Linked DNA regions of Canis lupus familiaris. The protein of the gene in region 2 interacts with the protein of the main gene of each other region in a biochemical or structural test. Links are inferred from orthologs where the notes say so. Each region holds a gene or a part of one and is shown on either strand. Other genes may lie near its edges. The genes, in order: DDX19B, NUP214 and NXF1.

Evidence for each region.
Region 1: the proteins of NUP214 (region 2) and DDX19B are reported together in a solved structure, tested with the Homo sapiens proteins (2 studies listed by IntAct, with this or other methods). The link is inferred for Canis lupus familiaris from reciprocal best matches to the Homo sapiens genes NUP214 and DDX19B.
Region 3: the proteins of NUP214 (region 2) and NXF1 form a complex in vitro, tested with the Homo sapiens proteins (4 studies listed by BioGRID and IntAct). The link is inferred for Canis lupus familiaris from reciprocal best matches to the Homo sapiens genes NUP214 and NXF1.

The regions. Positions count from the first base shown.
Region 1 is NC_049226.1:76,903,372-76,912,913, reverse strand, and holds the end of DDX19B (ATP-dependent RNA helicase DDX19B), read right to left. Parts: intron 9,408-9,542; coding exon 9,293-9,407; intron 6,305-9,292; coding exon 6,127-6,304; intron 5,769-6,126; coding exon 5,531-5,768; intron 4,976-5,530; coding exon 4,813-4,975; intron 4,364-4,812; coding exon 4,172-4,363; intron 3,755-4,171; coding exon 3,693-3,754; 3' UTR 2,849-3,692; downstream 1-2,848. UniProt on the Homo sapiens protein: ATP-dependent RNA helicase involved in mRNA export from the nucleus.
Region 2 is NC_049230.1:53,022,175-53,032,222, forward strand, and holds part of NUP214 (nuclear pore complex protein Nup214), read right to left. Parts: intron 9,139-10,048; coding exon 8,940-9,138; intron 8,067-8,939; coding exon 7,996-8,066; intron 7,609-7,995; coding exon of another isoform or gene 7,539-7,608; intron 6,840-7,538; coding exon 6,776-6,839; intron 6,314-6,775; coding exon 6,210-6,313; intron 5,162-6,209; coding exon 5,055-5,161; intron 4,404-5,054; coding exon 4,337-4,403; intron 1,295-4,336; coding exon 1,168-1,294; intron 66-1,167; coding exon 1-65. UniProt on the Homo sapiens protein: Part of the nuclear pore complex. Has a critical role in nucleocytoplasmic transport.
Region 3 is NC_049239.1:54,403,169-54,413,216, reverse strand, and holds the start of NXF1 (nuclear RNA export factor 1), read right to left. Parts: upstream 8,907-10,048; 5' UTR 8,774-8,906; coding exon 8,746-8,773; intron 7,213-8,745; coding exon 7,029-7,212; intron 6,811-7,028; coding exon 6,657-6,810; intron 5,465-6,656; coding exon 5,381-5,464; intron 5,271-5,380; coding exon 5,166-5,270; intron 5,070-5,165; coding exon 4,989-5,069; intron 4,880-4,988; coding exon 4,810-4,879; intron 4,667-4,809; coding exon 4,578-4,666; intron 4,451-4,577; coding exon 4,343-4,450; intron 4,188-4,342; coding exon 4,078-4,187; intron 2,281-4,077; coding exon 2,244-2,280; intron 1,944-2,243; coding exon 1,875-1,943; intron 1,792-1,874; coding exon 1,736-1,791; intron 1,607-1,735; coding exon 1,499-1,606; intron 1,384-1,498; coding exon 1,325-1,383; intron 1,210-1,324; coding exon 1,094-1,209; intron 975-1,093; coding exon 932-974; intron 366-931; coding exon 293-365; intron 1-292.

The DNA.
Region 1 (9,542 bases), on a different chromosome or scaffold from region 2:
GGCCTAGTGATTTGCTTTGACTAAAAGAATGTGACAGAAGTGCACTGGGGAGTTCTAAGCCAAGGCTTCAAGAGAACTTAGAACTTCTGCTTTCCTTTTTTAGAACCCAGAGACCATCTACCATATTATGAAGATGGAAGACCATGTGGAGGAACCCAGCTGTTTCAGCTGAGCCCAGACAACAGCCAGGGGAATACAGCTGCGGAAGTGAGCCTAGGAGAGACCAGGAGAGCCACCAGACTAAGTTGTTTTGACCTATTGTTTTGGGGTGATGTGTTACATAGCATTGGATGATACAAAAGGACTTGGTGATTATTGGTTGGGGAGCAGGAAGTTCCTGATGAATCCAGATTTCTGCCTCAGGCCAGACAATTATAATGCCATTTCATGAGATAAAGGAAAAGCCAAGAGCAGAACATGAGTTTTTTGGAGTGGTGATGTTTGGTGGTAGTACAAGATGATAGGTTCAATTTTGGATATATTGAGTACATGGTTCCTTGAAGACATCCCAAGTGCAAGTGCCATGTGGGCAGTTGTTTCTACAACCCTGGAGCTCAAAAACTGGGTCTTGGTATAGATTTTGGAATTGTCAGCAGAAAGAAAGCCAGAGGAATGAACAAGATTCCCCACAGTAGAGAAAGAAGAAGAAATGACCCAAAACAGAGCTATGAGGAACACTCACAATGGCCAGAGTAAAGGAAGACCAATGAGTGTGGTGTGTCACTTCAGTTATCAGAAGAATGGTTAGAGGAAGGGACTGTTTATATTGTTAAATGCTGTTGAGGGGTCAAATATAATGTGTTTTTTTGGGGCCCCTGAGTGGTGCAGTTGATTGAGCATCTGACTCTTGGTTTCGGCTCAGGTCATGAGATCAAGCCCTACGTTGGGCTCTAAGCCAAGTGGGGAGTCCACCTCTCCACCACCCCATCCTTACCCCTCTCCTTGGGTATATTTCAGTTTTGCAAGATCCAAGAGATGGATAGTGGTGGGTGGTGGTTGTACATTATGAATGTATTTAATATACTGTACACCTAAAAATGGTTAAGATGGTAAACTTGTTGTATTTTATTTTTCGTTATGTGTATTATACTGCTACACACATACGAGGGAAAATTGATGGGGAACCCGCTAGTGGGGTGGGAGAGGTTGAAAATATGAGATGGAGTAGATGGAGCAAGTCCTTAAACAGCCACAGGAGAGGGTGCATTTATAGAGAAATTTAGATAGTAGGGACTTCTCCTGTTGTAACAGGAGGGCAAAGGAAGGGTAGGTGTGCTTGGGGGAGTGTCCTTGTGTTGATTGTTGACTCCAAGTATGGAGATAATGGGGTTGGAAGTTTGAGGTGAGTGAAAGTCTTAAAATGGTCACTGGTCAGAGTGGAAGAGTTAACCAGAAAAGAATAATGAGGGGCACCTGCATGGCTTAGTTTAGTTAAGTGTCTGACTTTTGGTGTCAGATTTTGATCTCAGGGTTGTTAGTTCAAGCCCTACATTGGGCTCCATGCTGTGGGTTAGGATAGGACTAATGAACTATGAGGCTCAAGGTACTGCAGCTGTTTCTGAAGTTGTCCCCTCCATGTGCATTAAGTATGAAATCAGATGAATAGAACATTATTTGTCCCTCTAGCATAACCTTATTTGTTTTAGAAATTAAAGCAGTGCCAAAACACTGGGACCTATTCTGTTGTTAAACTTGTACTCAATTGGCATTGGTTTATCAGGACATTTCTTGTGCAAATTAGAAGCTTTGGTGTCTGAGGAACACAGACCAGAGGACAACCCTCCTAGGACACCTGACCAGGGCTGACTCATGGTCTTTCAAATCTAAGCATATGGTCGTGTGTTCTCAGGGATAAGCTACCTAAGGGTACTTGGCTTTTCTCCTATTAGGAGAATTCCAAGGATGGTGGAAACATGGGTAAAGATAGAACAGTATAGTTGTAAAGATTCACAAAATATGTACTGGTACTTCCATCATCCCCGCCCCATCCCCTAGCTGCTTAGATTTAAGGCTATGCAGTTGTCAGGAAGAAGGGAATGTAGTCAGCCTGTAGCCTGTAAGGAGTCTATACTCCTTTAATTCCTGCCTTTGTTTTAGTTATTTCAGGGTTGGTCCACAGCCCAGCAGGGGGTGGGAGACAGAATTTCTTCTCTTTTTATAAGACTCCCAAGGTGGGTCAGAGTTGGCCAGAATCAGAAAAGACTATGAATGGCCACTGGGGAAATGTGGCAGGAGTGGCAGTTTTTGGTCTCTCTGTATTTAATGTCAGATTAAGGAAACCACTTGGAGGCTGGCATGGATCCCTTCCCTGCCTAGGAAACCAGTCTGGCCCTAAAACATGGAAATGCTTATAAGGATAGTCTGGGATTAGAATGACATAAAATCCCTCTTCCAGGCCTGGGCCTAGACAAAGTACCCGTTCTGTATCAAGGTCAAAGAGATAGAGAAGACTTCATGTTGCTGGGGTTTCATCTCATCTTTGCTCTGTAACTCTGTGGATACCATCAGCCTTAGCCAGGTAAGAGGAAGCGTTCATTACTAACATTTGTTCTGACTATTCTGCACAAAGATGCCCAGTAAGGAGGGAGCCAAGTCCTTGGCATTGACTCCCGCTTTGTGCAGGTGAATGGCCATAGTCTTAGTTCCTTATTGCGCTATGTGTATTCCAAGAAATGTGAACACATATTCAAAATCACTTTACAACCAAGACATCAAATACCTGAAATGATACCCCAGCTCTGACAAATGTTGCCTTCTGGGATCTGGAGACAAAGCAAGTATTTGTGACTACTGCTGATTCACTTCTGGAGTTGCCTTCAGGCTGTCTGTGAATGACTTGAAGCCACAGTTTTCACTGAGGATCCAAACCTTAGATCACCTTTTATTTGATTGAGGCTAAGGGGCAAGGGTGACATTAGGGATTATAAAGAAGATGCTGCAAGTGCCTGTGAGCCCAGGTTGTATGGTAAGTGAGGGCCACCACTTAACTCTCCATGAAGACTTCTCCACAGGCTTTAAGCACAGGCAAGGGATCCACTGATAATCAGATGTGCACTATACATACATTGCCCTGCTGATGAAAACCAGGTCATGGTCCTGCAACACAAACCTGCAAGCACCAAAAGTCCCAGGGTGGCAATTTGGCTCATGGTTAGCAAATCCCTTCTACTGTGGAGCTGACAACACTCAGATGCGCTGCCCCACCCTAAATCCAAAACACCAGCTCACAGGCCTCATCCCATACTCCAAACGTGATGGCTGGCTTACACACCTATCCCAGTTAGGGCTTCTGTCTGTCTTCACCTCTCTTCTGTCTAGAGGCTATTCTGAACACTTGTGGCCCTCTGGCTGGGCGGTGGCAAGGGCTGCCACAAGCATCTTGAGCAAGTGATTAATTAGCTACAGCTTAAAGGTGGGGGAAATGGCCAAAAAGAAGATGGAATTTCCAAAAGGTAAATTTCTGTGTATTCACGCCTAATCTTCAAAAGTTGTATAAACAATTTTTTTCTACCTCCCCCCATCATTTGCACAATTTTTGTCTAGTCCAAACGTAATTTAAAATGAGGTAGGTAGTTTCTCTCTCCTCTGCCTCCTCTTTGTGGTAACTGTCGAGGCCTGTGCCGTGAAAGCACTAGTCTTCCGTGCAGGTGGAGTGAGTGCCAGGCGTGGGCACTGGTGACTGGTGGAGCTTCTCAGTTGGCTATCTTCTCAATCTCGTCCAAATCATCTGTGTCCAATCTTTCTATTTTCTTATCTGGGGAGGAAGATGAGAATTCAAAGAGAAATCAACATGGGGCTACCACAGAGACCCACCCCTAGGGAAGGGACAGCATGGCACAGGGAGAGGAAACAGGGTTCTGCCCTGCCTAGGGATGGGCCATGCCTCTGGCCACAGCGACCTTTCACTTAAGCCCAAAGACTCCCAGTGCCCGAGCAAGGGACAGAGCCCCAGGCCCCTGAGGCTGGCCAAGGGGGAACTGTCATTTGCATCCCTGACCCTGAAAACTCACCAGGTGTGCTCTTGGAGGACTTCCCTATTGTAGGGAAGGAGGGGACTGTGTTGGGGACAAAGGCCTTTCTTGGGGCCACAGGAGAATCTACCCTTCACCCCCTCCCTTGGACTCGCCCCTGTAAGGAGAGGGCACCAGCAGAGACACTCCCAGGCACTCACTAAAATGCTCCTGGATTCTGTTGAGGATGTTCATGCTGTGCTTGCTGTCAACCATGTTCACTGCCAGGCCCCTCTTGCCAAAGCGGCCTGTGCGCCCGATCCTGTGCAGGTAGGTCTCGTTGTCCGGGTTCCCGTCCTTGTCCACGGGAAGGTCAAAGTTGATGACGACAGAAACCTGCTCGACATCAATACCTGCATGAAAGAGGTGGAGAGGTCAGGAAGGGAGACAAAATCACCACCAGCCAAGCAAGGCCAACATACACCAGCTTCATGTGGAAGAAGAGTCTGGGGCAGGTTGGCTCTGGGATTTGGGGCCAAGGGGCACCTAGCAGAATCCAGAGGGAAAGACAACTTTGGCAGGGTGCCAACAGAATTAGGACATCAGTAATGCAGCCAGAACCTCACTGGGGGCCCCAAAGAGAAGGTGCCATTCTGGACCAGTGAGGTGCCTGTCCCTGTCCTTCCACCACATCAGGGCCCCTGGCTTCTGTGACAATTCTCATCTGCTGGGGGAATCCAGTCTCTCCCAGGAAAGAATGCCAGCACCAAGCCCATGTGGACTCGCCCCGAACCAGCAGAGCGCCCCATACAGGAGGACTTCCCTTGCTACCCAGGGCCTGGCGGACAGATTCTCTGCTCACCGCGGGCACACACGTTGGTGGTCACCAGCACCTTCTCCTTGCCCTCTCGGAAGCGCTCAATCACCGCAGCCCTCTGCTCCACCATCATTTCGCCACTCAGCAGGGCCACCTGGTGGCCTTCTTTTGAGAGCTCTGCTGCCAGCCAGCTAGCTGTTTTGCGGGTCTGGAGTGAACAGAATGGTTTTAAATGAAGATACCTGTTAAAAAAAAAAAAAAAGGTACCTGCAAAAAAGTGGCTTGTTGCCATTAAAATACATGAAGACCTGCTGAGTTCAGTCAACAGGATAGGCTTACCAATTTCACAAATAATTTTAGCCAAGTGAAAATTTTTTTTGGATGAATTACTTAAATCATCTTAGCATTCAGCAAGGAAGAGTGGTGTGATCCAAAGATCTTCATTCCCAAATAGTCTATATTCTTAATGTTTTATAATTATTTCATTGGATGTTATTTAGAGTTTTTCCCAAGTAATCTCTAAGAAGTGGGACCAACCAAAGAAAGTATAGTTCTTCACAATCTTTCCCTAACTTATTACAGTCTGAGGAGAATATTCCCTGGGGCAGGTGGAGGTGATTCATTTCCTTTCCGGCCACACCAGGCCACACCGAGCCCCTGGTCCTCCCTCAGCACCTAGTTGGAGCTGGCTGTGAGGAGGGGCAGGCACCTCCTCCAGGGCAGCTCCTCCCCCACCAGGCCTGCTGCTGCCACTGCTACTCACATGGCAGAAGATCATGGCCTGAGCAATGGTGATGGCCCCGTAGAGGTTACACAGGGCCTGGAACTTCTCATCTCTGTTATTGCACAGGACGTAATACTGCTTGATGGTGTCCAGTGTCTCCTCCTCACGCTTGAGTTTGATAATGTTTGGATCTGGGACCACTTTCTGGGCAAATTTCCATACAGAGTCTTCGAAGGTGGCAGAGAAAAGCAGCATCTGGCAGTCCTTGGGCAGCATCCTGCAAGGGAAGACCCAGGTATGTGGCATGATCCCGAGTCTTTCCCTGGAAGGAACAGAAGACAGCTGCCCCGGGCTTGGGTGATCCACATGCCCAGGAGAGTGGCAGAAGGGGGAGGAGAACAGCAGGGAGGAGGCGAGAGCAGCCATGGGGCAGGGACAGGGCTGGTGTTAAGATTCCCTAAATCTCCTTCCTCAACCCGTGGTCAATGCTGACGAGGATATGGCCCATCAAACAAACGCTTCTGGAAGTACAAAAGTAAAGAAGCTAACAGGAGCAAGAAGAGTGTTTGAAGTAAAAGGAGAAGATGCTGCAGATCAGGAAGCTGAGAAGTTCCTCTTGGCTCAAGAGTTCCTACCTCTGGATGCGGATGCTCTGATCTTGGTGGCCCTGAGTAGCTATCATCACGTCAGCCTCATCCAGAACAAACACCTTGATCTTCTTGGGGTCAATGAACTTGAGCTTGGAGCACCAGTCCAGAACAGTCCCAGGGGTGCCAATGACAATGTGCTCACTGATCTTCTGACCTCTTTCCACTGTGGAGACAAGACGTTTTCTGTGGGTATTTCCATGGTAAGTTCAGCTTTCCTCTCTGAGAAAACCTAAAGGCATGATGTATTTTAATGCAATTGTTTGATGTTTGCATTAATATCTTAAGGAAAGGTTATATCACTATAGTATTTAATAATGCTGTAAAGACAAAATAAGGATAAAAACAGTGACAAGATGAAAGTCTCTTCAGTAGCGTTCTTGTCCATTCTCTGTAGTCCTCCAGTTCTCCTTCATTCAGATCTGTCGTTACCTTTATTTCTTCTCTGGCAACAGCATTCCCCCAGCCCAGGATTGCACTTCCTCACAAACAGACTTCCACTGCTCTTTCCAGTGCACTCTGCCCCTCAGCTACCTTAGTATCTACATCAAACTAGTCGGTTGCCTTTATGTACTCCCTGCCCAGGTCAGAAAATAGGATTCATCATGAATGGCTTTGCTTTCTCCAAGAAACACCTACTACCTCTCCTAGATGAAGTGCTTCCCTAGACAAGGCCTGGCAAGCTATGGCACATTCTTGACCATGTACAGTCTGAAGCTGAGATTTGGCTTTTCATTTTTAATTACATGGCACTTATACATTGAATTTAAGTCCTTTCATTACAACCTTGACCTGACATATACAAGCTCCCTGTAATCACTGCCAAAAGTTTGCCCAAATATAAATGTTGAGTCAGTTCAAAGCCAATAAATGCTGCTGCTTCTGTTAATCCAATTACTGCCTTCCACAAAAGTTGCATTCTAACTTCAACCGAAACTGCAAAATTTTAAATGTCTTATGATCATCTTCCACTAAGTTTTATAATCTTACTTTTTAGAAGCAACTTCAAGTTGGTATTAGGACATTATATGCTGAGTGGATTTCTGAGAGTCATAGTTACAGGTTTGTGTTAAAACATTCATAGCCAAACTCTCAACAACACTTTTTAAATATTGTTAATTTGTTGCAAAACAGAAGTAGGAAAGGTGAATAAAGAGAAAAGAATAATACAAATAAGCTTCAAAAAAAAAACAGGCAAAATCTTTTTTTTTAATTTTTATTTATTTATGATAGTCACACAGAGAGAGAGAGAGAGGCAGAGACATAGGCAGAGGGAGAAGCAGGCTCCATGCACCGGGAGGCCGACGTGGGATTCGATCCCGGGTCTCCAGGATCGCGCCCTGGGCCAAAGGCAGGCGCTAAACCGCTGCACCACCCAGGGATCCCTAGGCAAAATCTTAAATACAGAGAACAAACATGTCTGCCAGAGGGGAGGTAGGTTGGGTGGGGTGAAATAAAGATGATTATTCTTTACATTTATTACACTTATTTTGATGAGAATTGAGAAAAATATAGAACTGCTGAATCACTGTATAGCTAACATTAATAAAACACTGTATGTTAATTATAATTTTAAAAAATTAGATGCCAGAATTATCATGAATATTCTAGAACATTTTTGTTCTAATTAACATTAAAAAGAAATTAGGCAATTAAATTCAGAATGTGTAGCATTTAATAAGCAACTGATTTGGCCTGTTTAAATCTTTTTTTTTTTTTAAGATTTTTAATTTATTCATGAGACACACACACAGAGAGGCAGAGACACAGGCAGAGGGAGAAGCAGGCTCCATCCAGCGTGCCCAATGTGGACTCGATCCCAGGTCTCCAGGATCACGCCCAGGGCTGAAGGCGGCGCTAAACCACTGAGCCACCCGGGCTGCCCTGATTTGGCCTGTTTAATTAAAGTCAAATGTACTAGGGAGAAGAGAAGGTGAAGGAACTATTCTAATTTTTTTTTTAAAGATTTTATTTATTTATTCATGAGAAACAGAGAGAGAGAGGCAGAGACACAGGCAGAGGGAGAAGCAGGCTCCACACAGGGAGCCTGACATGGGACTCGATCCTGGATTCCTGGATTACACCCTGGGTCGAAGGCAGGCGCTAAACTGCTGAACCACACAGGGATCCCCGGAACTATTCTAAATTTAAAGACAATACCAAATGCATTGCATACACACCAATTTGTTGTTGGTTCAAAAACAGCCATAAATAGTATGGGACTTTTGGGACTATGGGGGAAAAATAAAAATGGATACTAGTTATTAGAGAATCTGTTAATTTTCTTGGCTGTGATAAGGATTTTGTGGGTTATGTTGAAGGATGTCCTTACAAGATGCATGCTAAAGTATTTATTAAAAAAAGTTTGGGGCGGGGGGCAGCCCAGGTGGCTCAGCAGTTTGGTGATGCCTTTGGTCCAGGGCCTGATCCTGGAGTCCTGGGATTGAGTCCTACATCGGGCTCCCTGCATGGGGCCTGCTTCTCCCTCTGCCTGTGTTTCTGCCTCTTTCTCTCTCTGTGTATCTGTGTATCTTTCTCTGTGTATCTTTTTTAATTAAAAAAAAAATTAATTTTTAAAATTGTTTAAGTAGGCTCCATGCCCATTGTGGAGACGACCAATGCAGGGCTTGAACTCAAGGCCCTGAGATGAAGACCTGAGCTTAGGGCAGCCCTGGTGGCCCAGCGGTTTGGTGCTGCCTTCGGCTTGGGGTGTGATCCTGGAGACCTGGGATTGAGTCCCGCGTCAGGCTCCCTGCATGGAGCCTGCTTCTCTCCCTCTCTCTCTACCTGTGTCTCTGCCTCTCTCTCTCTCTCTGTCATGAATAAATAAAATCTTAAAAAAAAAAAAAAAAAAAAAGACCTGAGCTGAAATCAAGGGTCGTCAGATGCTTAACTGACTGAGCCATGGTAAAGTATTTAGGAGTAAAGATCCACAGTGTCTGCAATTTACTTCCAAATGGTTCCCTAAGACACATACACAGTTCTACAGATAGAGCAAATCTGGCAAAATGTTAAATTTTCAAATCTAGGTGAAGGGCACATGTTTGTTTGTTTTTTTTTTTTTTTTTTTTAATTTCAACTACTGTGGAGGTTTTGAAATTTTTAAAATACAAGTTGTTAGCTTAATGAATTCAGATCACATATTCATACTCACGTTTATTGCCTCGGACAGCATAAGCTAGCTTCAGTTCAGGGTAAAATTTGCCCATCTGCTCAATCACTTTTCCCGTTTGAAGTGCAAGCTCATAAGTTGGGGAGAGGCACAGACACTGGCAGGGAAAGAGTGCAGAGTGAGATCTCAAGGTGGGTGGGAATTACCATCAGGACTTGTATGTAAATTAAAGTGTGTGCCATTTGATTCTTTTTTTTTTTTTTTTTTTTCCATTTGATTCTTTATGCTGCAA
Region 2 (10,048 bases):
ACAGAGCACACCGTCTGTTGAAAGTAACATAAGAACTGGAGCAGGAGGAAGAGTTTTCTCATCATCTGTTAAGAAAATAAGCACAAGTGAAAAATGAACCAAGTCCCGAAGGCAAAGACTATTCTAAGCAAGAAGGCTATAGTAGACTTGCCCCAACAGTAGCTCAAGACTGTTTGCTCTGATTCATATCTGAACAGCCTCGAGAGCACTGGCTCTTGAAAGAGAACTACTGCCATTCTCAGTGGCTACCATCATGCCAGACCCTGCAGGGAAGTTCCAGTAGTCCTATGGCAGCTGTGACTGTCCCTGAGCTCCTGAGACTTTGACGAGTGTCTCAGGGTTCATGATGTCCCAAGACAGGTGTCTCTAGGAGGGGGCTGGCCTAGCAGAAAAGTGACAGACTACACACTTTGGAAAATACACAGGACGTAGAAAGGTAAGTCAAACTACTTTATATTCATTCACAGTTCAATCCTAAGATGTATTTTGTCAATTAGGACTTGAAGAGACTCAGAATAAATGAACTAAGGAGACCAAATAATCTTACCAGGGAAAGGACAGGAAGGAACTTAGTGGTGCTCAACAATGACACCTCTCTAAATTGAAGTACCAAAGAGCATAGGGCATGAGTTCCACTATACTGGTGCATCTCACAGACTGCAGCCCTATCTCGCTCCAAGAGAGAAGACCCATTCATAGCACAAATTCAGGCCTGCCCTGGAAGCCAAGTGCTTGAGGTCCCCATTCTCTGATCTGTGTCTTTAAACCAAGCACTGTTACGCAGTACTGAACTAGGGTGCTGTTTCTGTGGGAGGCCGCTGGGAAACTGGAATGCTTGGAGAAACAAGGCAATGAGACCCTTCTGTTCTAGATTTCACCTATACATGAAAGCACACAGAGATAGGCATGCGTGAGTGTACACACGGGTGCGCACACACACAGGCACGCACACACACACACGCACAGAGTCTGGCTTTTGTCTTATCAATGAATGTCAATCAAGTTAATCTAGTGGCGTCACAATGCACTCTGTATCATTCTTCAAGTAGCAATGCACTACCAGGAGTTAAGTGCCCCGCAGAGTAGATTCTGTCATGAACACGCAGAACAGGATTTCAATATCAACCACGACCACTTTTGCACTGAGCTACATCAGGCCACACTTACTGAGGGTGATTTCCACTTGATTAGTATAGTCTATGGCAACTCCCACAGGCAGCGAGTCATCACTCTTGTCTGTCACAGGCAGTTCAGCTCGACTGGAATCCTCTAGGAGCCAAGATTCCCAATTAATCTGGAAAAAAGAAGTAAAGATGAAAAAGCTATGTTGGTTAGAGCTTTGCAATGGTCCTCCCATATTTCAAAAAGGAGAGAAGACAATTCACTTGGTTTAGATTTATGTGTTGACCAGACTCTGAAATTTGGAAAGATGGTCTAAAAGCAACGGGCATCCTAGCAAGTGAGGGGTTAATTTTCCAAATTAACCCATGTGTTACTGGTATACCAAGTACCTGCCTTGTGAATAACCACTATCGTGAACACTTTCCCAAGTACTGTCTACCCCAACTAGGTACATTCCTAAACGTGGTGGATAAATCTAATACCTGCACCAAACAGTTATTAGCTGCTCCTGGAAATGTGGGATTGGCACAAGGAACTCCAGTTGATTGCTACTGTGGTCTTGAGCAATGTGGCTTGTAGGGCTGGCCAGATGCCCTATGCCCACTTGTTAATGGACAGAATTACCCTTAGTTCTTATCCTCCCAGATCTTGGCATCTGTTCCTCCCATGGGGCCCTTCCTGCCTTCAGGGTTCTTGAGAAACCACTGAGTCTTTCCAATAAACTCTTCTGCTTATGTCTGTGCTTGAATGGGCTATATTCCTGCCAATACATGATTTGATTTTTTTTTAAAGATTTTATTTATTCACTCTGAGAGACACAGAGAGAGGTGCAGAGACACAGGCAGAGGGAGAAGCAGGATCCTTGCAAGAAGCACTCATATGGGACTTGATCCTGGGATCACGCCCTGAGCCGAAGGCAGACGTTCAACTGCTGATCCACCCAGGCATCCCTATGATCTGATTTTTAAAAACCACACATTTGTCTAACTTTCAGTGTTGACCAAAACTGGGCAGCACAACTCAAAAGGAAATAATGCTCTATGAATAACAGAGAGAAAACAAAAAGCCCTTCAGGAAAGGGAATGTAATCATACTCCATGACTTAGCTATGGTGTGAATAATAATTGCATTCATAATAATGTAAATAAAGTTGATATCAAGTTTGAAAAACAATCTATAGGACAGCCTTGCTGGCACAGCGGTTTAGCGCCGCCTGCAGCCCACGGCATGATCCTGGAGACCCGGGATCGAATCCCACGTCGGGCTCCCTGCATGGAGCCTGCTTCTCTCTCTGCCTCTCTCTCTTTCTCTCGCTCTGTATCTCTCATGAGTAAATAAAATAAAATATTAAAAAAAAGAAAAACAATCTATAGACAAAATAAAGAAAACTTAATAATTACTACAGAACAGAATACAACAGTACCAGTTTTGATTCTGCAAAAGACAAGCTACAGATGAGAACAGCAGTGAGGTGGGAGCGGGGAAGGTATGCTAAAGGCGAGAGTGGGAGAGAAGGTATTCCTCTCACAAAGTAGAGAGTCAAGAGATACTGGGTATAGTGATAACTAAGAAATGGAAGATTAAAAGTATTACTTACAGTTACAAAGGTAACCAGCAGAAGAAACTACAACAGTGCTGTAACCCCGTTGAAGGGAAAGGAGGATTTGAGGGCCATATGTAAGCTATATTGTTATCTACCACAACACCTAAGGTCTAAAACAAATAATCGTTAACTAGTGATGAAGCAGATTATTATTTGTTTTTAGAGGTCGGGAGGGGCAAAGTGAGAGAGAATCTTAAGCAGACTCCATGCCCAGTGCAGAGCCTGACACAGGACTCGATCTCCAACCCTGAGATCACAATGTGAGCCAAAATTCAGTCAGACGTTTACCCAACTGAGCCACCCAGGTGCCCTTAAGATTATTTAGGGATAAGGAGGTAATCTTTAAAAGCAAAAATTTACAAGTTAAAAAAGTTCCCCTCTAACCAGGGCTGGATAAGGATGGAGTAGGCAGGGGTAATCTTTTTTTTTTCTTTTATAAATCCTTTCCACTACGTCATTTTTTAGTCATGTACATAAATTATCCTGATAAAAAACAAAAATACAAGTACATTTTAAACGTGTCAGTACATAAGATAGCTGTGCTCATAGGAAATTGCTCTTAAAGACAATCTAAGGCTTCACATCAGACTAACTCTGGCCTGTGACCCCAAAGCGCTCATCCTAGATACTATGAGAGCCATGTACTTATAGTGGACCACCCTGCCACCCAGAGAATGAGGGATAAATACTGAATGATTGGAGAGGTCTAAGTCTCTGTGTGTGGGGCGCATACAACATTTTTAAACTCAAGGCAGAGTTTTAAGCAGAAAAGTTTCCTGGGGCACCTGGGTGGTAAGAGTTAAAACTGCCTCTCAGTTTCAGCTCAGGTTGTGATCTTGGGATTGTGGGATAGAGCCCTGTGTCAGGCTCTGTGCTCAGCCCAGTCTGCCTGAGTTTTTCTCTCCCTCTGTGCACACTCTTTCTTGCTCTAATAAATCTTAAAAAAAAAAAAAAAAAAAAAAAAGTTTCCCTTTTATCACGTCCTTCTGTGGTCACTGTACATAACCTACCTTGGTTGAGGATGGGTTACCACAATCACCTCAGCCCAATTCTTGTCTGCAAGGACAGAGCGCAAGAAGGGAGGTGGGTGCTTACACACATGAGTGCTTTTAGCTCTTGGGTGGTTTTTCAAAGTGAAATAGAAAGTATTGCTGGTGAGTCGCAATTTGATATGGTCTGCATGTTTCTCTCCATTAGTCAAGGATGGGTTAGAGGTAACTGAACGGAAGGGGCAGGTTCAAGCAACAGGAAGTAAATAAAGGTGGTGAAACAGAACAAGGCAGAAAATCCTCCTACACACCCAGGTGTGCTCCTGTGGGAAGCTGATTATATCTATGCTTCCACAGATCGTGAGTGGATCCTGAAAGGACAGAAGAGCTTTTTAAGACAGTGGGGGAGCTGCTGAGTTTGAAACCCACATCTGTCCCATGCAAAATCCAAGCCACATGGCCCAAGGCACTCCGTCACATCAGCCAAGTGTCAGCTTTGCTCTCATCCAGAAACTCATTCAAAAGGATGTGGCTTCATCTAAACTTTCACCACATAGTTAACTCCTCCAAGAATCTTTCTCAGAAAAGTGTCACATAAAAGTGACCGAAGAGTGAAATTTACCTGATCTGTCTGTCGAGCAAGGATACTGACTTCTGTTGAAGCTGCAGATGCTGCCAGCACTAAATCCCTTGAAAGAACAAAAGCAGGAGACTGTTAAATTCAAACGTAGCAACAATTCTAACCCAACTTGAGCCTGCGGTGGCGTCCATGAGGACTTCCGTGTGATGTCAAGGAGGAAGGTGAGGTCTTCTACATGGCTGAAGAAAGGTGAGAAGATTTTAGATGTAAAGTTTAACTTCTTAGTTCATTAGGATAAAGCCCTGGAGACTCAGCCAACTCCTTATGTATTTCTGACAAAGGTCAGAGACATGACAAAATCCAGTCAGAATTTCCATTAAGTCTACTGCCCTGTAAACAGAAAGATCTGGTGAAATCGTGGACAGAAGCTTTGCTTCAAGCTATCTATCTTTCAAGGGGAAGTTTTTGCTCTCAAAGGGACACATTTAATACATTCCTTAAATATCATATTGTCATAAGTCATCACTGGGGTTATTGAGAAAATGGGGTTTTTAAGATTAGTAAGTATTCAATCCAGATAATTTAAGATTGGGGAAACAGAAGTAGTCAGAGGCATTATCCAGCCTCAGAGGAAAATATGTTCAAGGGCATAAATTCTCTATTCTCCTTCCCTACAGAAAAGAATCTCAAAGTGGGAACAAAGCAATGCAGGTAGGACCCGACAGAGAGAGAAGGAATCCATTCTGGGTTCTCAGCTCACCATTCTTCAATGTAACTGAGGTAGTAATGGTGCTGCCTCTCCGTGCAGCTGCCATAGCAGGGCTCCATAAAGTTCACAAATATCTCTGGGTGTTTTTCTTCTTTTTTCTACAATAAACAAAAGGAGAAAAAAAATCCCACATGCAATTTTTCTTTAATTCTACACAGTTAAAGAATCTCAAAAACTAAAACCATTTACACTTTATGAGAAAATTCACTCAAAAATCCCTGTCCAGGGACACCTGGGTGGCTCATCAGTTTAGCATCTGCCTTCGGCTCAGGGCATGATCCTGAGGTCCAGGATCGAGTCCCGCATCGAGCTCCTTGCAAGGAGCCTGCTTCTCCCTCTGTCTATGTCTCTGCCTCTCTCTTTCTCATGAATATTAAAAAAAAAAAAAAAAAAAAAAAAAAAAAACTCTGTCCAAATATATAGACATCCTATAAAGACAGAGTTGAGTAATACAAGGAATATGAGCCGTGGCCACTAACTGAACTGGATTCAAACTGTTTTTTCACTTTCTGGCCATGGAACAGGCATGGATGGACTGCTCACTTCTCTGATAATTTTTCTAGGGTCTGTGGTGGGCCTGATGAACTTACTCCACACTCTGTCTTAAGCGTGGAACAAAATGATACATATGAAGAGTTTAGCCCAGAACATGGAACCTAAGAAGGAGTCAATAAATGCCAAAGCTAATCTGATCTCTGGGAATAGAAAATCTTAAGTTCTTAAAATAAGGACCTCAAAAACATATTTTTAAAATTCAACTTTGTCAGGAACACTGTAATTTTGGCCCTCAGGCAACGGGACAGCATTCAAGTTTTACGCTTGAAGTTGTACCATCCCTGCCAGCAAAAAAAGGAAACTAAAGCCTAACCCTAGAACTTTATTAGAAGACCTCTATGATTCCCAAAGGATAAAGATGTCCTTTTCTTTCTTTCTTTTTTTTTTTTAAAGATTTTATTTATTTATGACAGAGAGAGAGAGAGAGAGAGAGAGAGGCAGAGACACAGGCAGAGGCAAAAGCCAGGTTCCATGCAGGGAGCCTGACGTGGGACTCGATCCTGGGCCTCCAGGATCACACCCTGGGCTGAAGGCGGCGCTAAACCACTGAGCCACACGGGGCTGCCAAAGATGTCCCTTTCACACACATACCGGGAGGAGAGCCATCACCACATCTGGAGAAGTTTCCAAGGTCCCATCCGCAGCAGCATACACAATTGTGAAGACATAAGTACCGATCCACAGCACATCCAGAACTGAAATACACACACTTTAATAAAGCATCTTATGTTTGGAATAGCCCCCATATGTTCAAAAAATTATCAGCCCATGGATAAAAGAGACCGAGTGCTATAGTTCTAAAAGGTCCAGATTTCACTGACTGAATATAATTCACAAATACAAAGAATTCAAGAAGCCCCAAATCATCCCAAAGTGGCATTTTTTTTTTCCTGGCAGAATAAAAGGATGGCAAATTTTGAAAGGATTCTAATAAAATATCAGGACCCATTTACTATTATTTACCATGAGACACAGGTGTCTACCAGAGGATTATTGTTATGCTGACTTAATTAGCCAACTATAATAATGAGAGTGTTCATGCAGGAGGCATTAACACTTCCCTGAGTGTGCAGCTGCATCACATGATGTGAAATTTCTGCAAATACTGTGTCACCTCATTAGAGGTGGACCTAGCATAAGAAAAGCAAATGGGTTACCTCTGACAGGATGATCTGACTCATAAAATGGTGGGCAAGGAATGACTTTTTTTTCCTGCAGAGTCTGAAAGAGATGGGGCGGGCGGGGGGGGGGGGGGGGGAGTATCAAATGGTCAAATGAAACAAACTTAAACCAATGAAACTCTGTCAAATCCAGTATGTTCCCCCCAGAAACCACTGTGCTTCATCTTCCCAGCCAGGAAAGAAATGAACACAGGGAATAGTGAATGACTCCATCCAGGACCCCATCCTACTGAAATCTCCCACAAATATGTTCGGGCGTAGAAAGGAGATGCTCAAGCTTATACCATTTATACTAGCAAAGCCACACACACTGACACAGACAACCACCAATAACGGAATAGAGAAGTAAATCATGGTACATCCACACCATGGACTACTACGCAGTCATTCAAAAGAATGGCTCCATATATAATATGTTGGGGAAAAGGACCTTGATAAAGTATTATGTTTAAGACAAAAAAGGCAAAGAGCAAACCAATAAAATTAAGCCAGTTATCTTTTTAGAGGCTACCGCCCTAAGAGTATGTACCAAATCTCATATAACAACTTTCTGTAATAACAAGAAATAAAAGCTTCACCTCAAACCCATAAACTACATTCTCTGCTTTACACCCAAGAACAGTCTCTCAAGGAAGAATGGACAGCAACACAGGCCTCAGAACTGCCTGTGGAACCCTCCTTCCCATCCATGCCTGATGTAACATATATGGATTCTATGTCAATTTATATTGAATAATACCTGTGATGATATCAGGAAGACCCCAGGGAGAGGATGACAGAGTGACAGGGGCATCCATTGTCTCGGGTGCCTAGAGTTGAAGAAACTGAATCTTTCAGATGGACTCGGCTACCAAATAATGCTATGCCTTAACTGTTTTGATGGAATGTTTAGATAACACTGCGTAGAATATGACCAGCGTGTATGGTAGACATGTAATGCATCTATACACTATTTGTATAAGCATCCAGAAATGTCTAGAGGCTGCCACTAAATAAAACACAGAGAGAGCCTCTAGAAGGACTATGGGATAGAAAGGGAAGAGTTCCACCCTTTCCTGCATTCACTAGTTTACTGATGAATTTGTTGCAGTGAGCATGAATTACATTTTAACAGAAAAAACCCTAATGAGCTCCCAAACCATCCCAAAAACAGTACATAACTTAAGAAAAGTGCTGAAGTCCAAGGCAACACTTACAGGAAGATACTGGACCACAGTTCCATTCTGCTTCCCCACTGCCAGCTGCTTTCCTTTGGGGCTCCAGCACACTGAGCAAAGAAGAAAATGCTGCCAATTAAGAACTGAAGAGAATGGAGCAAACCATAGAGGTCTGTACTGAAACAGCCATATAACCACCACTTCCTGTTCCTCTGTCAGTCCATGGGAGACAGGAGGATCATCCTTATTTGGCAAAAGTCCAAAAAAATTCCTTTTGTTGATACAAACCAATTACGACTTATCACTGGACCATTAAATCAACTGCTAAAAATCTGTTTTCGGGATCCCTGGGTGGCGCAGCGGTTTGGCGCCTGCCTTTGGCCCAGGGCGCGATCCTGGAGACCCGGGATCGAATCCCACGTCAGGCTCCCAGTGCATGGAGCCTGCTTCTCCCTCTGCCTGTGTCTCTGCCTCTCTCTCTCTCTCTCTCTCTCTGTGACTATCCTAAATAAATAAATAAAATATTAAAAAAAAAAAATCTGTTTTCAATAGAGTGTTGTCCAGAAAGCTGGAAAATACAAAAACTCTGTTATCTTTAGGTAAGGAGAATAGAGGTTTTCAAGTATCAAGAAATCATTCTCTTACTCCTATCCAAGATTTATAATGCTCTTCCCGCAGAGGTAAAAATGACTTCCAGTGTACCATCCACACCACCCCTTTGGGTCCAGAAACAGTCATTCTCAAAAACACATTTCTAAACCATCTGTACCAAAATATTTCTTTCTCCAAAAACCCTAAGCACATTCAAGTTAAATCAACTCTGCTGTTTGGTATCAAACATTATGGAAATAAAGAACACTTTCTGCTTCTACCAAACAACAACAGATACAACAAAAAACCCCATTTGCATTTATTTCAGGAAATTAATTTTTAAGGAGATTACCATCACTGTATGTTACAGAGTGAAAGCCTTTATTACCCACCAGATGTTACTGCCACTGTGGAAGGGAGAGTCGCACACACTTTCACTGTTTCTGTGATTTGTAGGACAGCAATGCTGCCATCGGCCAGACAAACTGCCATCATGGAGGGAACAGTGGGGTTCCACTTCATATCGATCACCATGCCTCCTGCATCTTTCAAAAGCTTATGATAGGCAAATGGGCGTTTTTGCTGTTTAGCCTTTTAAAACAAATGCCCAGAAGCAAAAATAAATTGATAAATTAATAAATACATAGACATTTAACAGTCAAAGAAAATTATTGAATATGTATTCTTAAATTACTTCACTTTTCTCCATGGCCATGACCAAAAAAAAAAAAAAAAAAAGAGCTTTACACAACAGTATATTTGTTACAGACAATTTCAACACAACTTTGGAAAACAGCAGTCAATTATTCTAGCACACTGAGGGACTCTCAGCAAGGGAATACACAAATGCAAAATAATAGGTAAAGAGCAAATACTAGATTAAAATCTTGGCTCTGCTTAATAGTGTTGGGTTCTTGAACGTTTAAATTCTTTGGGCCTGTTTCTTCATTTATAAAATGAAGACAACAGCACCTACTTTGTGAGGCCGTGGTATATACGAATAAGGACAAGGCATATAAAGCATCAGTACAGAGCTGGGCACACAGTATAAATACTCAAATTGGGGCAACTGGGTGGCTCAGTTAAGTGTCTGACTTGGTTTTAGCTCAGGTCATGATCTCAGGGTCCTGAGATCAGTCCACATGTCAGGCTCTCAGCTCAGAGACCATTTGTCCCTCTCCTGCTCCTTCCCTCTTTCTCTCTCTCTCATAAACAAAAATAAAATCTTAAAAAAAAAATACTCAAATTATTGACAATTATCGTTACGAAACTGCTTGGAATGGAAGAATACTCCAGAGGAGGTCAAAGACCTGGGATGTAGGAATTTCTGACATTACTGTTAACTTTACAGCCTTGGGCAAGCCACCTGGGCTTTGGCTGTCTCATATATAAAGGAGAAAAAACACCTTGGGGCAGATGTTATGAAATAATTTCTTGAAGTCCCTTCTATCGCAAGGATCTATGATTCTATAGCTAAGGACTTTTTTTTAAACCCATACTT
Region 3 (10,048 bases), on a different chromosome or scaffold from region 2:
CAATTCAGGACAGTTCTTCTCCCCATTTATCTTCACAACAGACCAAGGAAGTAGTTAGTAGGTAGCTTATACTAGTTTCTAGATGAGGAAACTTGCCAGGATGAAAAATCCAGACAATCTGGCTCCAGAGCTAAGCTCACCACCACTGTGACAGCCTCCTCTTGATTCCCCCTCAGCTTTCTGAAATTCTGAAAACATCCTGAGGACTGGCTCCCCTACGCCTCCCCCACCAACTCCCATTTGCTGGCCATGGATTGGGACTGGGAACCCATGTGGAAAGCCAAACACTTACCCTGAATTGCTGGCAGGAACAGCGACAAATGTCCGGGTGAAGGCTCGTAAAGAATCCCGAGACTTTCCATCCACTGCAATGTCAACAACGGCAAAGACCCCTTAGAATCAGCTACGCCATGTTTACAAAAAGCTTCTCCAATCATGGTCTTACTTGATACAACTAAACTGAAGTAGACTAGACTGATGATTATGAGCATCCAGGGGAGCAGAGGGGAAGAGGAGTGTCAGAGGCCAGGGAGGACAACCACCACCACAGTTAGCCCGCCAGGAGTATTAGTGAGCCAGCTCCTGTGTCAGGCACTTCACTGGCTCCCCACAGCACCCTATGACATGGCTATCACTAACCCCCTTTTACAAATCAAGAATTTGAGACTCAGAGATAACATAAGTTGCCCACATGGGACCAAGGCTGGAATAGAAACTCACTACTGCCTGACCCCAAAGTCTGTGTCCTCATCCTCAGACTTGTCCCATTTCCCAGACAGAAAAGACAGGTGGAGATGGTAGGCCTCATGGAGATGGCCTGGGCAGAACAGGAGGAGCTCAGGAAGGAGAAGGAAGGGAATGGAGAGTGCTGAGAACAAAACTAGCTGCGGGAGGGCCCACTCTGCACACCCCAAACTCCAAAGATTCTCACCTTCTTTGAAGACCCCGTTGACAGAAAAACACAGCAACGTACTCTGAAAGAGAAGAGGCGCTGGTCAGCACACAGGCTCCAGCCCGAGCCTGAGGTCCCCATGCCTTGTACCTGCCCCTTCACCCAGTTCAGGCTTCTGTAGCAGCAGAAACAGGTGCTTACGGTCTGGGCGCTTATGTCTACCACGAAGGAATTGACGTCATGCTGAGTTTTGGGCAACTCATTGAGGAAGGCCACCACGTTGAGACGTGTGTGCTTCAGCAGCCGGAACCGCAGGGCTGTGCGAGAGGAGAATTCAAGATTAGCAGCTACCACAGTCTCCTGGACCCTGTGACCAAGTCCCATCTGCCCCCCTTCCCATGCTGCCCTGCCCCCTTCACATCACACACTTACTCGGGTCTTTGAGCTTCTTCACATTCCTGCTATCCTTGAAGTACTCGGCCAGATTGCTTCTAGAGGAATAAGCGGAGAAAGGCAGGGCTCAGAGCAGTAGGAGTGCTGGCGGGCGCTTGCCTGCAGCTGCTGAGAGATGCTGGTCCTGGGCAGGCTCTGGGCAGGGATACTCACCGGGCAGGGTTCTGGGGGGTGAAGGGAATGCTGAGGGAGCAGCAGGCCCCATCGTGGTAGGCATCTAGTAGCCGCTGCCGGTCTCCAGAGTCGTAAACTGCATAGTACCTGTGGAGAAAACAAAAGGGAAAGCCTGAGCCCCGTGGTGTGGAGGGGAACCTGACTGCTCCCGAGGGTCAGCTGTGCTGGGGCTAGCTAGCCCTCCTCTCCCAGCCTCAGGGGCCCTGCAATACTCACTGCTGCAGGAAGTGCAGGACCAGGTTCTTCAGGGTCTCTGTCCCAAAATAGCTTCCCTGGAATCACACAGGTTATCAGGACCACGTCACTCTTATTTACCTGACACAACACAAGTTCAAACTCTATCCCCCCTTCTTACCTTGCAGGGCGGTAACATCGTGGGGGCTTCGACATCAAAGGCAATTGGCGGGGGTAACTCATGGCCATCCTGGGGAAAGTGGAAATCGACAGCATAACCAGAGAGAAAAGGCTTGAGAAGTAATGAGACGGGCGAACCAGGAATGAGGAGTCAGAGATCAAAGTGTCTAGGAGACGTGGAAAAGGCTCAGGGACCCTAAGAGATGTGACTCTTGTCTACTGGTCTTTTTCTAAGGATTATAGCTTTTGCCAGATTCTCAAAGGGCTCCAGGTCTCCAAGTTAACGGTCCTACAAACCCACGTGAGCAAAGACCTTTTGGGAGGGAGAGCCTATGGTCATTAAAAAGAACTGAAAAAGTTATGGACTTACCAGGCGTAATAATTTGGGAAATCGTTCTCGAATGGCGCTGTCAAAAACGGGACAGAAGTGAGTGATGCTTCAGAGCCACCGTGCCTCCTGAGCTGCTCTAGGAGCAAATACTCCAACACCCAAGGGATTAGCCACCCCGTCCTGCTTGTCCTCTCACTCCTCCCCAGCCTCTGAGCTCTGGGGAAAGAGGCCCCACTCCCCACTTCACCCGGGGCACCCAGAAACAACCGCCTTGAAGGCAGACGCTCTTCTTGCTGCCTGACCCGAGCGCCACAAGAGCAGCACTCCCAGCCCAGGCTTTAAGCCAGGACCTCCTTCCCCTCCCTGCCCCCCTTACCTTCCACCTACTCACCTGTGCAGCCCCGGGAGGAGGGAATGGGGTGGGAGCCCAGGGGCTCCGCTGCCTCAACAGGTATCCATCAGTTCTGCCCAGCCTGGCCATAGCCAAGACCAGAACACACCACAGGGATGGCACAGGATGTTGGGGCAGGGAAATGAGCAAGGTAGGGGGTCAGGAAGAGGTGAAGGAAGAAGATGGAGAAGGAGAAGAAGAGAAAGAGAGAAGGGAGGATGGGGCCAAGGCCAGGGAGAGATGGGGACACAGAGGAGGGGAGAGAGTAAAAAGAAAGAAAGCAAAGGCCAAAGGAGGCCTTAGGAAAAACAAGGAAGAAAAAAGGGAAGAGGACACCCGACACAGCCTTTTCCTTCAGCTGCCCCTTCTTTCCCTGGTCCAAGGTACAGACGGGAAACAAATTCTCGCTGCGGCCGGAGGGCAGTTGCTGTTGGCCAGGTCTCTGTCTGCTACCTGGGTCCCAATCTGAGCTGGGCGTGGGATGTGAAGCAGCCATGGGGGCAGGAGACCTCCCTCAGGAGGGGTGAGGGTTCAGGCCCCTGCAGAGTTGGGGGGGTGAGGGTCTGTGCCCCACCTCTGTTGGCCCCCAAGTTCTCTCCTGATGGCCCCTCTGCGACTGTGCCTGTCTTAGGTTGTTCCTTCCCTGAGGAATCTTACCCGTCTCTGGCTAACCAGCCATCCTCCGGGGCCAAGCAGGGTGACGTGAGGTGTGCGAGTGAGGGCGGGGCAGCGCCCCCAAGAGGGTCAGTGCTCTGTCTCCTCCGCAGTCTATGCCCCCGTGGCCTCCACGCCCAGCACCTGCCTTGGGCTTCCCTCGCCTGCCGGCGGGGCCCCAGCTCTGCTCACACAGCTTGGGGAACCCAGGTTTCTTCTCCAGGGAGGGCCCAGCTCACACAGCTCCAGGCAAGAGAGACAGAATGCATGGCACCAGCTCCGAGGAGGCCTCAACCTCAGCATGAGGGAGAAAGCCCAGGCAACGGTGGCCTTGGGCACGTGGACCGTGAGAAGAGAGTCCCTCTTGGCCAAACGGCAAGAGGGGCTAGCGCAGAACAAAGAAGGAAAGGCCCATCAACAGGAAGTCCCAGGGCAGAAAGGCTTTCTCAGCCCTGGGACAGCAGGCTCTTGCATAAGGCAGCTCCATGTATGGGGCAGATGACAGATACCCCATGGTCATGCCACAAAGCAGGAGATGCCCTTCCTGGAACAGGAGAGTAGGGAGACTCTAGAAAAGGCTGTGTTTGGGAAGAGGAAAGACCACAGAACAGCAAACAGGTAGTCAGGTGAGAAGGAAGGTAAGGAGACCTCGGGGCCAAACTGGGACACACAGACAGACGAAGGGAGGAGCATGTGATCCTCCCAAAGGACAGGTGGTTCCAGCTCAGGGCTGCACATCTCCTGCAGACGGGCACTGGTCAGGGTACATTAGCTCAGCCTCCCAGGGGGTGAAGGTCCCCAGGAGGGGAGACAGAGGCTACAACTGACCTGATGTAGGTGGACTGATCTCGGAAGGTGTCGCACAGCGGGTTTCCGTCAAGCCACAGCTCTTCCAGCTTCAGCCCTTTTACCTTGTCCAGTTCCCTCTCAGATTTCAACTGCGGAGAGGAGGGCAGAGAGAGTGGGCAGGAGACCCCAATGAGGGAGCCGAGCCAGTGAGATCCCCACACCGTGCCTTCTGCTGTCAGCAGGCGAGCCCTCTGCACCCTCTACTCACCGCCCCACACAACATAACCAGACCCTCAGGTCTCACCTCATTTCCGGAGAGGTTGAGGATCTTCAGGTTGGGTGCTTTCTGCACAAGGCTGGACATGTCATCCAGCCTGTAGAGCCTATTGTTGCTCAAGTTCAAGGACAAGAGCTACAGGCAGAGAAAGGATTAGAGGAAGCACTGCCAACAAAGGATTCGGAGACACATCTGCCTCCTAGCCCCATTCTACCTGTCCCACTCTGCCTCCTCCCATCTCTAAGCAGGACAAAAGCCTCACCTCAGGGATATTCTCCTCAATGATTCGCAGCGTAGCCGCCATACAGCTCCTGCGATTCAGGACAACATCGATGTTCTGGGCCACCAAGTCTTCAGGCAGCATAAAGGAAAGAGAGGAAGTCTGAGAGGACTTTCCCACGTCAGAGTTCATACCAAACTATTCTCAAACTTTCCCCGCCCGACAGACCCCCCTCTGCCTCCACCTCTCTGAGAATGACCGCTGCTAGTCATACCTGGGTCTGAACGGAGACCCTTGAGGTCAAGTGCTTGTTGGGAACCATCGTATCGTTTGCTCATGATCAGCTACAGGAGAAGGAAAAGGGGTCAGCGGTCACTCGGGTTGTGCAGAGGGGTTGTGGATGTGAGAACTGGTGGAACTAGAGAGGAGACACATGACGTGAGCCTGCCTCACCTTTAGTTGCTCTACTTGTTCTGGCTTCAGTTCGTTCTGTACAGAATGGGGTGGGACAGAGGAGTTGATGATGATAGATATCTGCAGGGAAGACACAGAGAGCAAGGTGAATTCTGGGAAAGCCTAAGCCACAGGACCACGACCCAACTCCAGCCAAGCCAGGCCCTTTACACACACCCTTCGGTTTTCCTGATCCAAAATCTTATAGTTGACAGCTTTCAATGCAGAGGCGGTACTGGCATCCTCCACAAAAAACTGGGCCCGTGTGTTTTCATAGTGAAACTGCACAAAGAGGAAGAAACAAGAGCATGAGACTGGGAGCCTGGGGCCCCTGGTCCAGCTGGCCCCTCACCTTCCTTGGTGCCCAGTCAGCCACCTGGGCCTTATCTCACCTCAATGGGGGTGAAAGGGACACTGCACTTGCTCTGAATCACACTCAGGAGCCATGACTTGTCATATTTTCTCCCATAGGGAATCTAGATGAGAGAGAAGGAATATCATGTAATAAAGGCTGACCAACAGACTCAACCTAGTGCTCCTTTCACACCTTCTGCCAACTTCTATGACATTTCCTAAAGGAAGGGCCAGTTAAAAGTTTTTTTTTTTTTTACTCAAGTCAGACACAGATTCCTTACCTTCCTTTCTGCCCATTTAAACTTAGTATTTTTCAAGAAAATAGAACTATGTGGTTCCTTTTTTAAATTTAAGATTTCATTTATTTATTTATTTAACACAGAGAGAGAGAGAGAGAGAGAGAGAGAGCGCGCGCGCTCAATCAGGGGGAGGGGCAGGCAGAGTGAGAGGGAGAAGCAGGCTCCCTGCTGGGGTTTGATCCGAAGACCCTTGGATCATGACCTGAGATGAAGGCAGATGCTTAACCGACTGAGCCACCCAGGTTCCCCAAACTATTTGGTTCTAAAAGTTCTTAGATATGATTTAGACCTGGCCCACCCCTCAGAGAACTTAAGGGACCCCAAGCCCCATACTGGGCTTGAGCCAGATAGAGACATTTGGATGGGTTACTCCACCTCCCAACCAGTTAGCACATTTCCATTTATTTATTTACTTATTTATTTATTTACTTATTTATAATATTTTACTTATTTATTAGAGACACAGGCAGAGGGAGAAGCAGGCTCCATGCAGGGAAGCCGACGTGGGACTCGATCCCGGGTCTCCAGGATCACACCCTGGGCTGAAGGCGGCGCTAAACCGCTGGGCCACCCAGGCTGCCCCCCACATTTCCCTTTAGATGGTGTCCCCATCCCCCTCATCCTGCTTATCCCCCCTCTAACTCCTTTTCTGAACCTGCTCTTAGGTGTTCTAGGAGAAAGGCTGGACACCCGACTGTGGAGAAAACAGTGAAGATTGATTTTGTTGTGTGAAAAGTAAAGACCTACACGCTGAGCCCAGCCCCCTATCTCCCTTGCACCATCTACTTCCCCAGACACTCAGTGTAATCTCTTTTTAGGGGGAGGGGGGAGGGGAGAGGGAATGGGAGAGGAGGAGGGAGGAAGAGAAAGAATAGGAATCTCAAGCTGGCTCCATGCCCAGCACAGAGGTGACGTGGGGCTTGATCTCATGACCTTGAGATCATGACCTGAGATGAAATCAAGTGTAGGACAGACACTAAACTGACTGAGCCACCCAGGCACCCCAGACACTCACTGTAATCTTAAACCAGTTCTTCGAGGTCCCATCCTGGCTGGTGCCAGCCCCTCCTCTCTCTGGAAGAATTCTGTCTCTCCGCACAGTAACATGAATGCGATCTCGATCATGCCAACTGTCACCTCGACGGTTGGGTCGGGGAGGATAGGGGTTGCTGTGGGGAAGCAGAGAATAAAATGTCCGCAAACACTAGGAATGTCTTCTCAAAGGCTTCCCACACTGTTGTCAGGATTATAGCTAAAACTATTTAACCATTAAACTGGCCCTGACATCCCTCACTTTTCCAGGTGAGAAGGGAAATGGTGTGGGCAGCAGAAAGCTATATAAATAAATCTGGTTTGAGCTCTCAAACCAGATCAATTGGTCGCTTACTGTCGTATTCGGGGAACATCCTGGGCATCACTCATTGCCACATCTCTGTCATCTTCCTCCAGGCGGGAAGACCGAATGCCAGAACCTCCTCTTCCAGACCTCCGGTTCCCCTCGCCATACTTCCACCGGAAAGGACCCCGGCCTTTCTTTCTTCTTTGAGGGAAACTAACACGGTCATCATGCTCTGGGGTTAAAAAGGACATCCATTAGAAACATGCTGTCAGCCCAGCTACCCTGCTGTGGGAATCACAGTAGCAAGCAGCCTGTGCTATCAAATGAGATACACACCAACTACAGAGCCCACCTCCATGCAAACTTCTGTCTGTTGAGAGGAGAACCCTCTCTGTGGCATGGCAGCAGGAGCGAAACATCACTGGAAGACAGGGCAGGGCTTTAGAAAAAGGACTCAGGAACTGGAACTTACAGACCGGGAAAGGCACAATGTGGAAGTGTGAGTAGAATATGGACCCAGTGTGGAACTAGACCCCTGAAAAGTCACCTGAAATCTGCTTGCTCTTAGTTTCCCAAATCTATTTAAGCCTTCTCAAAACTTGGATGGTGACCTCGCTCAACATCTCCTAAATCAACCAATCACGACGATCACATCAGCTCTCAGTAAACAAAGCTTCCCTTGCGCAGAGTACAAGCGTCAGTTACAAATAAAATTAAGGGCTTCTTTAAAATTCTTGTTCTCAAACTGCCACTCTGAACTTTTGGGAATGAGCTGTTTATTTCCTTGGCAAAAAATGCTTTTTTAACTTAGGAGACAACTCCTAAGATTCAGGTTCTAGTGGCAACTAGGGAGCTTAGCCAAGGGTCCTGGACTGCTCCCCTGGAACATGACCCTCTGAATCCTGGGGTGTAAGAATAGCATCTTACAAAAAGGTCCCTGACTCCCCAAACGCCTCATGCCTAGTGTTCTGCAAACAATGAACCTTAAGAAATGACGGGGGGCGGGGGGGAGGGCAAAAAACAAAACAAAACACCACAACTGAATATAAGGCGCAGCAAACATTCACTGAGAACTTTCTTCAGTGCCAGGCACTATGCCCCGGGCACTTGATACGAATGATCTCGTTGAACAGGAGGGCAAACCCAGGAAGTAAGTACGGTCACCACCTCCTACGGAGATAGAAAATGAGGCCTGGGAGTGGAATTCCCTCAAGCTCGGGGAAGACGACTCAGGACTCAACCCGGCTGTCATGTGCTCCTCCTCACCACTCCTCCGGACTAAAACCGTGCGTAGTGTTCGGGCGAGCACAGCGAACCGGTGTGGAAGTCTAGAATACTAAAGCCAAAGCCAAGGCCGCAGGGGACGCGGGACAAGAGACCGGACGCGGTGGGAAACGACACAGGGAGCCGATGAGCCGGGCACGGACTCCTATTAAAGGCAGAGTCCGGGCGCCAAATCCAACTGACAGGCATCACCACCCACAAAGTTCAAAGGAATCGCCCCCCCCCGGCCAGGCCGCAGCCCCGGGCCGAAGCTCCGCGCAACGCCACGATTCCCGCGTCAACACGGCCGGCGCCCCGCTCGAGTGCGGCCCGACCCGCAGGCGGCCTCGGCCTCGCCCCCGCCCCTCCCGCGCCGCCGCCCCTCCCGCGCCTCCCGCGCCTCCCGCGCCTCCCGCCCCTCCCGCCGCGGGGCTGCGGCCTACACCGGCGCCGCCCACCGGGCCCCCGATCGCCTCGCCCCCGCCTGACGACCAGCACTGACCGTTGTAGGCCTTCCCCTCGTCCGCCATGGCGCAGCGAGAAGCGAGGCCGGCTCAGGCGCGGGCCGAACTCCGCCGAACGCGCGAACACCCGGGCGCCCGGGCCGAAGCGCTCCTACCGCCGGCGCCGCCGCATTTATGCTGCGAACTACGTCGCGCGCCGCCGACGTCCGCGGTGGTGGGCGGAGCCGCCGGGGAGCGCGGCCGCTGCGCGTGCGCACCGGGCCACAGCCGCGCCGGGGGCGGGGCTCGGCCTCTCCCGGGCCTGCCGAGACCCGCGCTCGTCCAGCCCGCCCCGCGTCGGCCCGCCCCGCCGCCTGCCCCCTCCGTTCCGTCGCTCCGCCAGCACCTCCGGGGCGAGCGCCGGAGCCGAGAGCAGGCTGCCGCAGCCCGGGACTCCGGGAGGAACACGGGAGGGGGCCGCACACGAAGGGCTTCCGAGCAGCGGGCGACCCGACTCTCCCGGAGCGGGGTGGTCAGTGGCCGTTCACGGAGCCCTAGCCGCACACAGCCAGTACTGAAGTCTCAGCCCGGCCTCTGCCAGCGCCGGATAGATACCCTTTCTTGTCTATAGATTGCCGGGCAACAGAAAACTAGAATGTCAACCCCGAGAGAGCAAGGACCTTGACTAATTCATCCTTTTTTCTCCAGCTCCTGGCTCAGGAACTCGGCCTGGCATGTGCCAATAACTCCACAAACACTTGTGATATAAATGAACTTCCAACCTATGCATCCTTCCAAGAAGTCAATTGACAGTGTGCGTTTATCCAGCTTTGGCAAGCAATTGTCTTCACAACCTCCCCACCCACCCCTGAAGTGCTGTGCCGGAAATACATTCACTGTCAGCTGGGCAGTGGAGATGCAACTGAGACCACCAGCTGAACAGAGGCCAGGGAGAGAGGAAATAGTAAAATGCTGGCCTAGAAAAGACATACGTTCTCCTTCCTTTTCCCCTCTCCAGCCTGCCAAAGTTCTAGGGTCAGCTCTCAGTATGCTGGTGGTTCTCTGTAACTTGAAATTCCTTTAGGGTGTGTGAGATGTGGGGGGACCGCAGTAATCTCAGAATGATGTGGTTGTGGCTCCTGGCCCAGAAGTGTATTAATCTCCCTGGAGGGTGGGTGTTGCAGGCAGGTTTCTCCTTCATTCTCCTGTCACTGGCTTGGATTTGGTGAGAGGCTTGGAGTGGACCAAGAGCCTCAGCTGGAGCTGGGAAACCAGTTCTTCACCTTTCACTCCCGGCAGCAGGCAGAGCTCCTGCGTCATCCAGTTCAAGGAAAAATGGGGGCCAGCTGGGTAGAGGATGCA